Linked DNA regions of Mytilus edulis. The protein of the gene in region 1 purifies or fractionates together with the protein of each later gene. This does not show direct contact. Links are inferred from orthologs where the notes say so. Each region holds a gene or a part of one and is shown on either strand. Other genes may lie near its edges.

Evidence for each region. The genes of interacting proteins can lie anywhere in the genome.
Region 2: the proteins of protein patched homolog 1-like (region 1) and sonic hedgehog protein-like purify together in Drosophila melanogaster (affinity purification with western blotting; 3 studies listed by BioGRID). This does not show direct contact. The link is inferred for Mytilus edulis from reciprocal best matches to the Drosophila melanogaster genes ptc and hh.

What each region holds. Positions count from the first base shown.
Region 1 is NC_092344.1:121,132,059-121,140,073, forward strand, and holds the start of protein patched homolog 1-like, read right to left. Parts: upstream 3,084-8,015; 5' UTR 2,792-3,083; coding exon 2,690-2,791; intron 2,265-2,689; coding exon 2,072-2,264; intron 1-2,071. UniProt on the Drosophila melanogaster protein: Segmentation polarity protein. Acts as a receptor for the hedgehog protein (hh). Associates with the smoothened protein (SMO) to transduce the hedgehog signal leading to the activation of wingless, decapentaplegic and patched itself.
Region 2 is NC_092345.1:55,468,364-55,475,892, forward strand, and holds the start of sonic hedgehog protein-like, read right to left. Parts: upstream 3,064-7,529; 5' UTR 3,012-3,063; intron 1-3,011.

The DNA.
Region 1 (8,015 bases):
TGTAATTACGGGAAATCTTTTCCCTCCATGAGTCCATAAGCCTATTCAACATGACACAAATAATATCTCCTCTTTCATTTAAAGTTAAGATTTCATCCCTTGGAAAGAAAATTGGTATTCATTATCAAAAGTTGGTCACACTATCAATGACCTAGGTAGAATACAAAGTATTTGATTCATTCAGCCATAAAAAACCTCCATCATGTGAAATACTAGCACACAAATTAAAATTGTCAAATTATCAGTGGAATCCAGGTCAAACAACATTCACTATTTATATCACTTCAGATGATCTTAAAACCTTCTTTCACTTTTTTATCTGATCTTGACAGGGGAGATAGAAAAAACAAATCTGGAAATGCAAAACCACAACAGAAACTCTTTTATTCATACATTTAAAATTTTTGGCTCAAAGATGTCCCCAATTTCTGGTTGATCTCCATTTTAATTGATTGATCGTTGGTGGATTAATGTCTAGAAGCAAATATTTCATGTCTTTTCAATATGAGATTTACAATTTACATATACATATAACAAAAAGCTACAATGAAGTACAAAAACACTTCAATATAAACCTAATAAGGATTCATGCTAAATTAATCCGCCCAAATTATTAGCAAAATAAAAAAAGTTAATTAAATAAATGAAACCTGGAGTAAATTAAAATAATTAATATACCTTTGATAAAATGTAACATTCAAACCATACAATTCTTACCTACTCCTCTATGAGCCAACGTAATAAAATATATGCTTTAATTCAGAAATTTTATTGCAGATGATACATTATGTAAGAAATTCTGAAGTTATTTCTGATTTCTGGTGTAAAATTCATTTGTAGATGATAACACAAAAATATTTGTATTCCAACTGAAGCAGAATTTATATCTCACACATGCCCAAGCCATCAAAACTTTAATCAAAAAGATTGCAAGAACAGACTTTGTGTATAACACTAAATAATGCACTGGATATGTTGTTTACAAAGTATACTACTATATAATTATTATATGCTTTTGGCTTTATGATTTTATTATTAACTAGAAAGATGTGTTCAACATAAAACAGTTGTAAAATATTACTATCAGCAAAAAATCTTTCTTTGCATGCTGTTAAATGTTTTACAACAAAACCAGTTTTAGACTGAAAAGGTAATGACAGTCCTTCTTCCCTATTGAATAAAACACACAAAAATAAAACTACCTTTTAGATTCTCTTAAAATGTTCTTAACCATGTGTGATAGACCACCAGGAATTTAATATACTGAATGACATTAAAGTTTCTTTCCAACTGCATTTGTTTAAAACTTTTCTAAAACAGCCAGTTGTTTTCTCAGCATACCACTATCTCGGACTTTATTAAGTAAAGTACGTATGACCCTAAAGGTGACGTAAATATATCATTCAGATTTTTCTTTATATTTCCAGATATTACTTTAAAATTGCTCAATCAAGAAAAAAAAATTGTAAGAATATAAAGTTTAAAGCATACAAAAATTAGATGTACAGTTTTCCCATGAAAAATTGCTTTGGTTAGAGGTTTGCCTTAAGAACCCGTATGCAGAAGACCTCCCAAGAAAACGGTAATCTCGTTACCAAAATATCTGATTAAGATGAACTGATAATGCACTATTGTTATTTTTGTAATTAATATTTGACTTTTTTGTTACCAAATCTTGTTGAAAAAGGAGTGCCAATCTGATATTACACAAATGCTCCAAAGTCAGTTTAGAGAATATTGATAATTTGCAAGGTAGATGTAATCACGTCCTTTGTTTATCGATTTTATCACAACCAATCTAATGACTTTAATGAGCGGGAATAATCAAACTTATGACCAGTGAGTGTGCGATTGTTCGACTATAACCGTCAACAATCTCTGATGATTTCAGCGTTCCTAATATAACAGACGAGACCACACACAGTCAAGATCAAATTTCTAGGTCACAAAACAAGATGGCGGCTTACTTGCTTTTATCAATTCAAGCGCTGTTTGTGAATGAATATACTGCCTCACATTATACCTAACGAATGTATAAAGATGAAAATACACATTTAACACGATTACTTACCTTCTACCCAAAGAGCTTCAACATCAGTTTCAAATTTGACCAGTTTGAATCCGATGCAACACAACGACAACAATAGTAATCCCATAAACAAAACTTTCCCACAATGTAATTGTATGAAACAACCAATACTGAACATATAATTTTGCAGATGCCATCGTACCCACAACGCACATTTATTCCCATCTGCTTTACCCTGCAAATACAAAAAGAAAATGTAGACGTACACTTTATTGATGGTCAAATTATAACTATTGGGAAAACAAAAACATATTGAAAGTGGATGAAGATAAGCATTTTTCTGTCATACAAATATGGACCATACATGCATATGAGATAACAGTTAAAATTCTGGAACTTAGACTTATTTGCCATCAAAAAAATATGCTAAAAAGTATGGATAAATCTAACTTCATTATTATGTGATGTTGTAATAGATGACATTACCCTAAGGCTAAAACACACATCAATTCACAATGTTTTAATATACATGGAATTTCTTCTAACAAATGTAATTTTTCTCCACTAATGAACTACACAACATGTTATGTTATTACAGAAAAAGAACTCACAGAGAGTTGTGATAGAAATGAGGTCATGGAGATGCCTCGCTTCACATACCTTTTTGACTTGTTTATACGCTATCCTGGCATCCACAAAACTAGTCCTCGTTAACAAATCCTCATCAATTTGTGAATTAGTGCCCCTCCTTCGAATACTCATGATTTCCCGTTTTTGAAGGGGGAATTCACAAAATAAACTATGTCATTTGAATGCTATTCGAACCCACGTGGAATGTTGTTCGGTTTATACACTATTAATTAACATCGATGTTATTATCACACAGTTTGAAATGCATGTAAGTACATCTTTATATCAGAAAATTTCTTCATAATTCTGAAGTCCTCATAGAAGATAAAATCCAAACAAAACACTGTAAGCTCCATACATCCGATATCATTCTTTGCGAACTTCAAGACTCCCGATTTTGCGTTAAGCTCCGCCTCCTCGTAATGACTGACAAGATGATATCGTGTTTGTCTGTTATCGGATTGGCCAGATTTAAATAGGATTGCTCAAGTAACAGCAGCTTACATTAGTTGCTAAGCAACAGTTCACCACAGTGCGCGGACCACACAAGATGCGAGAACTACCACAGCGTTAAATAAACGGCATATTTTCTGAAGGAATCCCGTACTTAATTGCTGTGTAAGACCGACTACAAATGTCACAAGCCAGTGAGTTTGTCACACAAAGAGAAACTTGTAGTTTAATGAACTAAATCTTTGCTTACTGAATTATCGTGATTATCAAGCCCACCGGATATATAAAGCAAATAGATTTCTTATGAAAAGGCAGAATTTTTATTTTTAATTTTACAAATCATATCAACTATTGTGTAATTGTCTAATGTGTTACAGTTGATCTTCTAGTTCAATATTACGAATTAATTCAGAGACCTTCTATATTACATTAAAACTAATGTAATTAAAATGACAGATGCTAATAAATTACACGTCGTATTGCCGTACAACCTGGGCGGGCTGTCACGCTGACGTATCTTTAAATACCTCGTGAAAACAACAAACCCTTAGTTTTTGTAGAGATTGATTATAAAAGACCGTATAAAACTGAAGTGGTCTTGTACGAAAATCTCCAAATGTAAATACGTGAATTATTTTATTTGCTATTAAAATATTTGCTCTTTATGGACATGGGAATTGTAAGAAAATTAAGGTAAAGCACAAGTGAAAACAAAAAAGATAACCAAAATCAACTGAAGCAAGGTAGAAATGTTCAACACTTTCTAACTGATTTTTGCTTCTGTAAAAGAGAGTGGATAACTAAATAATAATTCAACACTACTGAAATCAAGGTACAAGTTTTAAGCATGTAAAATGTTATATGATTTAGGGAGATGCAACATGAACGTAAGAGAGACAACAACCCAAAATCTCAGTCTAATGAGAAAAAAAGATAAGTAAATTGTATCGAGGCTTCCGAAAATTCAATTTCTCTTAAGTTTTAAAATGAATCAAAGATTAAAAAATTTTTGCCGGTTTGCCATTTTGCCAGGAATGATTCTTAAGTTGTTCTTTTAAATATATGAAAACAATATTACATAAAATGTAAAAAGAACAAAAGTAAAATGACAAGGTTGCTATATTTTTGTGACTTATTTTTTCCTGAAAAAATTACTGGAATAATGAGAAAAATCACTCGGACGATTCCGTAAAATCAGGTGCACACCTTCAACATATGTGCCATCTTCCTGTAAAGATGCAAGGATTTGGATTGAAAACTATAGTTGATAACACACAAAACTTATTCCTTTTTCATAATTTTTTCTAAAAAAGTCTGGATGATGAGTAAAATAATACTCAAACAATTCCATTATTGCAGGTGTACAACTTCCAACACATATGAACGTCCGGAGATGTTTCAGTGAACTGGGCTGAAAACTGTAGCAGCGGGTGATTACACAAAAAATATACCCTCTTTTATTAATATTGCTGAAAAAAGCTGGTCAAATGAGATAATTTACTCAAACAATTCTATAATATCAGATGAACCCTGCAAAATATAAATAATCTCCCTGTGAAGTTTTAGAAATTTGAATTGGACACTAGCGGTATACTACTGTTGCCTTTATATAGGAGTTTATTACACTAAACTTGAACCGTCTTCTGTAATTTTTACAGAAAAAGTCAAAGTTCCCAATGTGTAAAAACGAGATACAACATTACTCAAACAATATATTAGAGTAATATAATAGCAGGTGCACATTTAAGAATATATAGGTTGATTGCTGTAGGATTTGATTTCACAAATTGGATACATACTTTCCACAGACCACGAAAAATCACCATACCTAAAGCCGGTTTTGAACCGTCCAAACCGACAAAGATTTTTCTGTAGTGAAAGATGACCACTTTCCATGAAGTTGATTTAATCAAACATTGTTACCATTGTCCTTAGTGTTTTTCTAAAACTTTGAAAGATAATGGATTCAAGTCGTATCCAATTTCCGAAGGTTGGATAAAAAGCTCAAATGAATGCACATTGCAGGTGCACATATTCAGTATGTTAGGAATCTCTTGTTGCAGTTTCAGAGAGCTGGGATGAAAACAGTTAAAGAATTGATTACACACAACGGGTACCATATTTTGTTAACTTTACAGAAACAAAATAAGTTTCAAAGTCTAGAAAAAGTGTATAGCAACAAATAGATCAGTCTCTGAAATGATTATGTTGTAGGGTTTCATTAGCAAAAAATTGTACACCATAGCAGTTTGCGGTAAAGAAAAGTGTCATGCATTCAACAAACCAGAAGGCAACTTAAAAGGAATCGTCGATGGTAATGGTCTATGTAGGTTATCCAAGTAGATCGTGCTGTAATTGCATAGAGTAAAGACAAATAAATAGAAATGAGACAAGACAGCAATCCATTACCACAAGTTGAAAAACGTACGATTTTCGACGATAAACATGTACCAAAGCCGTATTGAACCCGGTTAACTTCCATTGATATAACAACTTATTGGTGATATCGAATTATCTGCAATAAAGTAGTATGCACTTTTTATTTATTAACTAGTTGTGAAATTAAGCATTGAAAGAGTGTTTTTGTCGTAGGAAGGTGGACCATTTAGTGTCACAACGATTCAACGTTCAACATATTGATAGAATATATACATTTCTTAACATTTAACCATGATAATTTTCACTAAATCTGCAACTACTGATACCAATATTGTAACGCAACACATTTTCTCCGAAATAAATAAATTTCAATTTTGTTATTGAACTCGTGTCTCCATCTCTAAAATACTCGACCAAGGCTACGACATAATTTTGTTAAGCAAGGTGCAGATCCATTCACATTCGCTTGAAAAGTTTTGGCCAAGTCAAAAAGAAATAATAAAATTGAGAATGGAAATGGGGAATGTGTCAAAGAGACATCAACCCGATCAAATAAAAAACAACAGCAGAGGGTCACCAACAGGTCTTCAATGTAGCGAGAAATTCCCGCACCGGAGGCGTCCTTCAGCTGTTAATCAACAAATATATACTAGTCCAGTGATAATGAACGCCATACTAAGTCTCTTATCGATACAACTTTAAATTGAGGAAGGTGTTGTCAAACAAAGGAAACTGTAAGTATGCCAAGAGAGAGACAAAATTTTTTTCAATAACAACCAATCGACTGGTCATGGCTTCCTAGAAATTGTCAATGAGATACTTCAACTTCAACTTCACCACTTGACTTGGGACCATCGGTTAACAGCAATCCTCCATCAAACAAATCATATTAAGAAATGAAAGCTCTGGAATATCGTTTCAACAGGGAGATAATTATCCTATTGCAGGCATGCAATATAGAAACGGAAAGTTCAAAATTAAAAAGCTGATAATAAAAAAAAAATGGAAAAAGATGACATGTGAAAATGTCCAATGAACTGATTATTACTAAACACTGAACATATATGGGACCAAGGTCTTACTACATATAGAGAAAGTTCCGTTGGTCAATGAACCAAGGGAAAAAAGCCAAAACATTAATGAATCCTAGCTTTCGATAATTTTACAGCCAATCTTTTTCAGAAATGAAAAGTTCTCCTTATACTGAGTCAAGGACAAGGAACAGAGTTATGGAGACGAAACAAAAAACACTTGTTTGATTACAATATATGTATTGTCACAACAGTGTTCACTGTCAGACTCAACCTATATTTGGTAACGCAACTGTATAGTACTAGAACTGGATCCTCCTTCACTATACTGGACGCCAAAATTAAATGCATGTCCTTCATACAACGTCACATTTGTTGATCTGCCAATTGTTTCACAAAACCTCTTTCAAAACTATCAACATCAATTTACTTATCAATTAAAGACAGATTTTAAAATTACTATGAAACTACCATCTCCCTGGGAAGGTGTCAATCAGAAGCTGATACTAATTCCAAGATCTATAGGATATAAAAAAGATGTGGTATGATTGCCAATGAGACAACTCTCTACAAGAAACCAAAATGACACAGAAATTAACAACTATAGGTCACCGTATGGCCTTCAACAATGAGCAAAGTCCATACCGCATAGTCAGCTATAGGAGGCCCCGAAATGACAATGTAAAACAACTCAAACGAGAAAACTAACGGCCTTATTTATGTACCGGACTCCAAGGAGTACATTTGACTTCTGTACCCTGTACACTTTTGCCATACCAAACTTCAATATTGATAATAGAAGTTTAAGACAGTATGATAACCAACTGTGTTCGTTTTTTGCCCACTTGTGTAATTGATATGAAGCAGACTTTATACACGAGCTTCATAGAAAGAATAGAAAAAAGGAGCTAAGATTATTCCTTTACTTCACTTTTTGCATGATGTCTTCTAATTAAAAACTCAAAGTTTGATACCTATGTTGGATGCATCGATACATAAAAGGAAACATAATACAGTAATAAACCGCTGTTCAATACATAAATCGATCGATAGAAAGCAAATCCGGGTTTTAAACGAGGGAAATGCATCAACTATGAGAGGAAACAACGGAACAACAGAAGCACTTGAATGCGGTACCATCGAAATTGAAATAAAGAATACCATATAAACTCAGTCTGCCTCATATCTTTAATTACATTTAGAAATCTACAACGAGGTCAGTTGAGAACAAATCTTCAGGACAAAAGGGGGGATTTTAGCTTCCTAATGATTTTTTTCCCCAATACAGCAACATTTCATCAGCGCCTGTATAACTCCGAGCTTTGTTATTCAAGAACTTGCATCTCCGAACATAATACTATACTTGTGCCGACTGCTTATAAAGAAATTATTTAATCATCGGTGTGTAGTGCCAACGTTGAAGACGTCCCTTCGAAATTTAAACCGACGCCTTTTCGACTAATTGACCATTTTGGATTATCTATCCAAGGATA
Region 2 (7,529 bases), on another chromosome or scaffold:
TTTGCATTTCATTTTGAGTGATTTGTTGAAATAACTTTTAACAAGAATAACACAATAACATACATGAATATCCATAAATTTTGTAAGCAAATTGTTGTCATTCATCATTGGTTTTAAAAAAAAATCTGTTTATAAAAAAGTCTTTTTTTATAAGTTAAAAGAAGTTACATACGTCGCATTCTTTGATAATAATAAAATATAAGCAATAATTTACTTAAAAACGAAGTTTAATTCAACCTTAAAAACAGCGCGAACTTTAAATTCAACCTTAAAAACAGCAAAACACAAAGACACTGCAATAACCATACCATATATTAGCGGATATCGTGTAGCAACCTACCTAGAAAGTATGTCATTTTTTTCTATTAAGATTTATCTAAAAAAAAAAAAACTCATTACCAGACGTACGTTTTGTTTACATACCGATACGACGACATTTTATTGGCGCTAGAATTAAAAAAAAGTTGGAAGGCTCAATACAACACGAAGTTGAAGAATATAAAAAACAAAAAATATGTACCAAATACGGATAGATCATCTACGTCTGAGGGTAGAAAAACCTCAGTGTTTCGAATTTGATTCAAAGTTTTATTAGAAGCATTGATACTTATGCGCGAGTGATTTCCTCGGGATGAACCTTATGTCCTCCAGCAGTGGCATCGATTTATGAATTGGATAGAAGAGAAGTATGGTTGAGTTTATGACTTGCATTAATGGATTCATACAGTCCAATCTTCCGAACATAGTATGCAACATATGCATGTACAAAAAAAAGCAAAATATCAGCTTAAGAAATGGGTAGAGCATTATAGGTAAAGAAACATATTAAGTATTAATAAGTTAGTTTCACAATGCAAAACAAAGCACTGTACTAAATAAATTTGTCGGTTCGGGCAGCTGCTGTATATTTACCGGTTCAAAACCCAATTTAATATGCAGAAATTATTGAATTCCTACTTAAATATATATAAGAAGATGTGGTATGAGTGCCAATATGACAAATCTCCATCCCAGTCATAATTTGTAAAATTAAGCAATTATAGGGTAACGTACGGTCTTCAAAATATGCTAAGAAGTGGCTTTTGTGCGACTCTATTACTAGTATTAATGTAACGTCGCGAATCCTTAACTTCTAAATTTAAGTTTGATATACCATACAATACCCTGAAATAATTTATAGTAATTTATCATTAATGACATTAAGTGGACGTCAATGCGGAACAGTTGTGTAACAATATGATTAGGTATGCTACTTAGGTAGTTACTGAATCGCACATGAAAGGGTGAATCATTACATACTTATATTTCATTTTAATCTAAAAATGTAATTCATACCTGGCAATCAAGATGTTGCATTTGCAATACTTTCATTCAAAAAAAGTCGTGGAAATAGTAGAACCTTAACAAAATAATTAATACCGCAAAACAATACAACTGTTATTGATGGAATAAGATTTAACATTATATTTCTCTGTATCATTCTGACTTAAATTTAAACAACTGCCTTTAAAGCTAACGAGATAAATATAAAATTGTAAGATTGGAACCGACAAACTATTACAGAAGAGGGGAGAAAGATACCAGAGGGACAGTCAAACACATAGATCGAAAATAAACTGATAACGCAATGGCTAAAAAAGAAAAAGACAAACAGACAAGTATAAGTACACAAGACACACCATAGAAAACTAAGGACTTAGCGGCACGAACCCCACCAACTAAAGGGGGTGATCTCAGGTGCTCCGGAACACGATTGTTAGGTTTATCATTTACTGTTAAAGAAACCAAATGAACTTAAAATACTGTCCAAATTCAAATACATCATCAGAATATCCATCAATTATATGCTATTGAGTTATCGCGCTTGGTTCAACCAAATAGTTCCACGAAGCTAGAATGAACAATTTTATATCGAATAACACTATGATCTAGAACTATCTTTTTATCAATTTGTTTTTAAATCATAACTTGTTTGCATAAAAAAGGAGGAGTTGCTTGATTGCCAATTAGATAACTACCCACGACAATTCAAATGAAGTGGATGTAAGCATTTATAGTATAGGCAACGTATGGTCTTCATCAACGAGAAACCATATTTCATAGGCTTTTGACGGGTGATTATTGGTATCCATGAAGGTGTGGACGTTTTGTATCTGAGATAATCACAAACCCAGAAGTCACCATGTTTTTGTTGACATGAAACACCATTGAAGTGTTCATTTTTTTGTAAATGTACAATGTACAATTCACTAGTAATGTTGGGGCCCTTTATAGCTTGTTGTTCGGTGTAAGCCAAGGCTCCGTGTTGAAGGCCGTACATTGACCTATAATTTATTACTTTTATAAATTGTTATTTGGATGGAGAGTTGTCTCATTGACACTCACATCACATCTTCCTATATCAATGTATTCATTGTTGAACTATTCCAAACACTAAGGTTGTTTTACCACCAGGTAGATTGTGTAAGCTGTATTTGGCATAACGTTTCGGAATTCCATATATTAAAAGCTCTAAATCTCCGTATTATATATGGCCTACCATTTGTTTTAATGCGAGCGCCACTGAAAAGTCTGTAGTAGAAAACAAGCTCGTATAAATTACAAAATTATTAGCCTGGTTTTTTTATGTATGAATTACAAAATTATAAACCTGGTATCTTTGATGTATGAATTACAAAATTATAAACTTGGTATTTGATGTATAAATTACAAAATTATAAACCTGGTATCTTTGATGTATGAATTACAAAATTATAAACTTGGTATCTTTGATGTATGAATTACAAAATTATAAACCTGGTATCTTTGATTATTCTTTTCTGTGTTTCCAATTTATTTTTCTTGAAAATATTATGCCAATCATCATAGAAATAATTTCCATCAATTTAAAAAAAAAATATGCTACTGAGAAAAGAGAAATACATTGGATATTCTTTTTGTTTCCACAATTTGAACGATTTATTTTTGTAAACAATGTTTAAAAAAAATATCCTAATAAAAAATCAACTTACTTTAATGAAAATATTACAATCCAGTCCGTACAAAATCAAGTAATATAAAGGTAAATGTTTCAATTGACAGGTATAGCCTTACGTAAAGTGCGAACGGAAAGATACAGATAGATTACACTGATCACGCTACTGTTTACACTCTACAGAAACTTAAGATGACCTCAACAGAACACCAAGGATGTCAAAATTATTGTATTTGATCTTTAAGGGGGGGGGGGGGTGGATTAAAGTCAGAAATATGGCAGTTGTTATACATTCGTTTGATGTGGTTGAGCTTTTGATTTTGCCATTTGATGAGGGACTTTCCTATGTGCAATTTCCTCGGAATTTTTTTTTTTTTTTTAATACTTTTTAAATCCTTAACCGAATATAAATATATGACTTATCTCTTTTATTCCCTGTATTTATTTTCTTTAAAAAGTATAATCCTGCAAGAAAGAGCAACAAAGTTTTCAAAAATCGACATTAAAGAAAATAGTTGTATGCATATGAATTGTAGAGTCAGTCATACTAAATTTATAAAATATCATTCCAGTTTCTCTAGGTCTGATAAAAAAGGAGATATTTCTGCTGATAATGGATAAGAAAAGTATAACAGTTGTTTTCCAGTCTTTGTATGTGTTTGATTTTGCCACTTTAAAAAGGACATTCCGATTGGAATTTTGTTTGGAGGTCGGTATATTTGTTATTTTACTTTTTACAAAAGGGTATTTTGCAATGGAATGTATGATTGATACCTTCTACTTCAATCATACAGTTTTGTTGAATTCTGGATAACAAAAAGACAAAGATACAATTTAAACTTCAGCGAAAACCTGTACAACTTGCGGAGTGAAAGAAGGACATACAAAAGGGAGAAGACAATAAAATACATATAAAAAAGCTGAGTCTATGAAAGATGAAAAAAGTAGTTGCCAAAAGAAAGCACCACATAAAAACAAAAGATTGAACAGGACAAACCCAATATAAGACGGGTATATCTAAGGTATGTCAATAGAGAACAGCAGTTCCAGCTTTTCTGGCTGACAGTGCTACATTGTTTCAGGAAAGGAACCATGTCACAGATTCTGGTCAAATTTTGCATTCAACTTTGGCCAGTTGAACTACAATTAAATTCGAAAACAATAATGCATTTATCTCTTTTATTTATACAAATATTCCTGAATGATTTGTATAGAAAGGCCTTAAATATACTCATCATAGATTCCCGGATTGAAATTTAGTATTTGCGCTAGACGTGCGTTTCGTCTACAAAAGACTCATCAGTGACACCCCAATAACAAAAAGTTAAAAAGGCCAAAAAAAGTACGAAGTTGAGCATTGAGGACCAAATTAAAAAAAAATATTGACAAATACAAAGTATGTGTAAACTTATGCAAACACATATCTAAATCTGTGACTGGCCAATTTATTGTACCTTGACCATAAAATCTATCAATGTCACTAAGATCAATCTACTTAAGGTTAAGTAATTTGACTACTAGTATATGACTTTATTTAACTGATCATTTGTTTTTCTTACTAGTTAAAGGTAGACAACTCTGAAGTCAAATTGTACAATTCAAAAATAAAAATAACTCTTCAAAAATTCTTGTGTTTCTGACTTTATCCTCATCAGGGAAAGCTCATATCCCTGACTTTGAAAACCAAAGATGTATTTAAAGCTGATTATTGAAAGAGCTTTGTAACCAAAATGAGACAATTAAGAGAATTCAAATCCTTAAAAGGTAAAATTTGTCCGAGGGAGCAAGAATCTTCGTTTTTTTTAATGTCTTCTTAAGTTATCAACGGACAATTTAAGAAAAGTGTGGTAAATGTGACTAAAGTCAGAACATGCTTCATATATATCATTGAAAATAAATAATTCACAATCAGATAGAGTATTGATTATGACTAAGACTTCAAGTGTAGAATAGAAGATATGTCTAGGTGACCGTAGGTGACAAATTCTTTGTTTTCAGATGATCTCATACAATGTATAAAGTCAGCATTTAAATACCATAATATGATAAAATTCCAATTGTACCACATGTTAAGTTACAATGTCAACTACTAATGTCAATCACTACGTTGCAACTCCATCTTTGATAGACAATGATTTGATAAGTCACAGCATGTAATTCCATTATTACCCTCAATTACTGTCACGTGGGTGACAAAAACAATTTTGAGCCTAACAGGTTAAAAGCGGGTCATTTTCGTCTTAACCTTGTTTCGGTATTAAGACGTCTAACGTATATGTACTTGGTATCGATAATCATGAAATTGTTTCATGGTCAAATAAGAAGTTACGAAGCAAATTGTTAAATATCTTGTTGAAAGCTGTAGCTCGACGACTAATTACACTAATTTTATTATAAAACTACTATATATAAGTATATCATAAACTGAAAGCAAACAAATTCCAAATATCTGCAAAATTGCAACAGTATCTATAGCTATATAGATTATAATGTAAAAAAAACATTTATCCTATCATTGGAAAAAAGCATGAAACGTAATAAAAACTTTAGGTAATTATTAAAATAAGGCACAGATACACATTTCAAGTGATTGAAATCTTTGATATCTTCAAATGATTTGTGGTTAACATGGTTGAACATGATCTGTCTCTAGCATTCAATTATATCTGATTATCAATACCTTTTAGGATTTTTGCATACTACTGAAAAATGAACACTCCTATTTATCAAAAACTTTTGGATTTAATTCAAATTATTTTTTTAAAGTTTAAAATCTATTCACACGATTGAAACTTAGCACGCAACGGTTCCCATACAATCGTATATGTTTGTTCTATGAACACTTTTTCGGTAATGTTTACTTCGTGACGGTATTTTTTTCCATGTTATACCTCTAATTCTCCCGTTGCTTAATTACATCTTCGACCCTGTGCTTCTAGTATTGACCAGCAGTGGTTCACTTTAATATGGCTTGCATAAATTTTATGTATAAAAAAGAAGATGTGGTATGATTGCCAATGAGACAACTGTCCACAAGAGACCAAATTGACACAGAAATTAACAACTATAGGTCACCGTACGGCTTTCAACAATGAACAAAGCTCATATCGCATAGTCAGCTATAAAAAGCCCCAAAATAGCAATGTAAAACAATTCAAACGAGAAAACTAACGGCCTTTTTTATGTCACGTTATACAAGTGACAGGTTTAGCTAGCGATAAAACCGGGGTATAATCCACCATTCTCTACATTCGAAAATCCTGTACCAAGTCAGGAATACGACAGTTGTTATCTCTTGGTTTGATGTGTTTGTGCTTTGCCATTTGCTTATGGTCTTTCCTATAAGAATTTTCCTCGTAGTTCGGTATTTTTATTATTTTACTTTTTGCTCCCTCCTATTCGCTTTTTGAATCAGTGTTAGCAAATTTGACAAATGATATGTACCCCACTTTAAAACATTCCAAGATAAGTATTTATTGACGTCGTGCTAGTAAAAAAATCCGAATCAAAAATAGATTAATTTTATATAATTGTTAAACGAATCTCTTGTGTGATATTTCAGTCAATAAAGGTGGTGCACCAAACTGATTAAATTAATTAAAAGGCTATTAATAATCGTGTTAACTTAGTGAATGTGCAATTGTAAATAAATCTCTACCGTGTACACTGCCTTTAATGCATTGCTAATGCAGTCGGAGTTGTCAAGAAATAATATACCGTAAAATTGATGTTAAACGAGGCATTAGCTGGTAAATATCATTTTCATGATTTAATTTACTGTATATGATTCAATAGATTTTCCCCATCAATTTTCATTGTGCCATGTTGTGTGGTCTTTATTTTGTTGTTGTCGATTTCTGTCTGAAAACACATGTTCAGGTGCGATATTATAGTCTAAATGTTGAAAACAATATGATTTTTATGTCATCATTATCAATTTTTCAAACTATAGAATAACATATTCTTGTCGTTAAAAATTAGTTACGTTCGACATACCATATACAGTGAAAATCGCTTTAGCCGAACCTAACATGGATTGAAGATGTTTAAGATATGATTTTTAAGCAAGTTTATGTTTTCATAAAAAAATGAATAGGGGGCTTCGGTGGCCTAGTGGCATTCGACTATAATCTAAATTGATTAGGAGTTTCGGGCACTCTGGTTTCTTCCACCAAAGAAAAACTGACCGCCAAGAAGTAGCACAAAAGTGTTTAAATTGTCGTTAAACATCAATCAGTCAAATCAAGAAGTTATAAAGACATCTATTTAATGAGATATGTAGAAACAATCTTTTGAAATAAATTGAACAGTACTTGATTGTATAATCTAAGTATTTCATACTTATAAAGCAAGAAATAAAATTGAGAATGGAAATGGGGAATGTGTCAAAGCGACAACAACCCGACCATAGAGCAGCTAGACAACAGCTGAAGGCCACCAATCTTTACTTTTGGTTTGCTATTGTTTACTCTTTATAAACGGACTGTTTAAGTTTAAGCATGATTCCGATCTGTACGGATAAAAAAATATTTTCAAGACCTGCAGAACTAGTTAA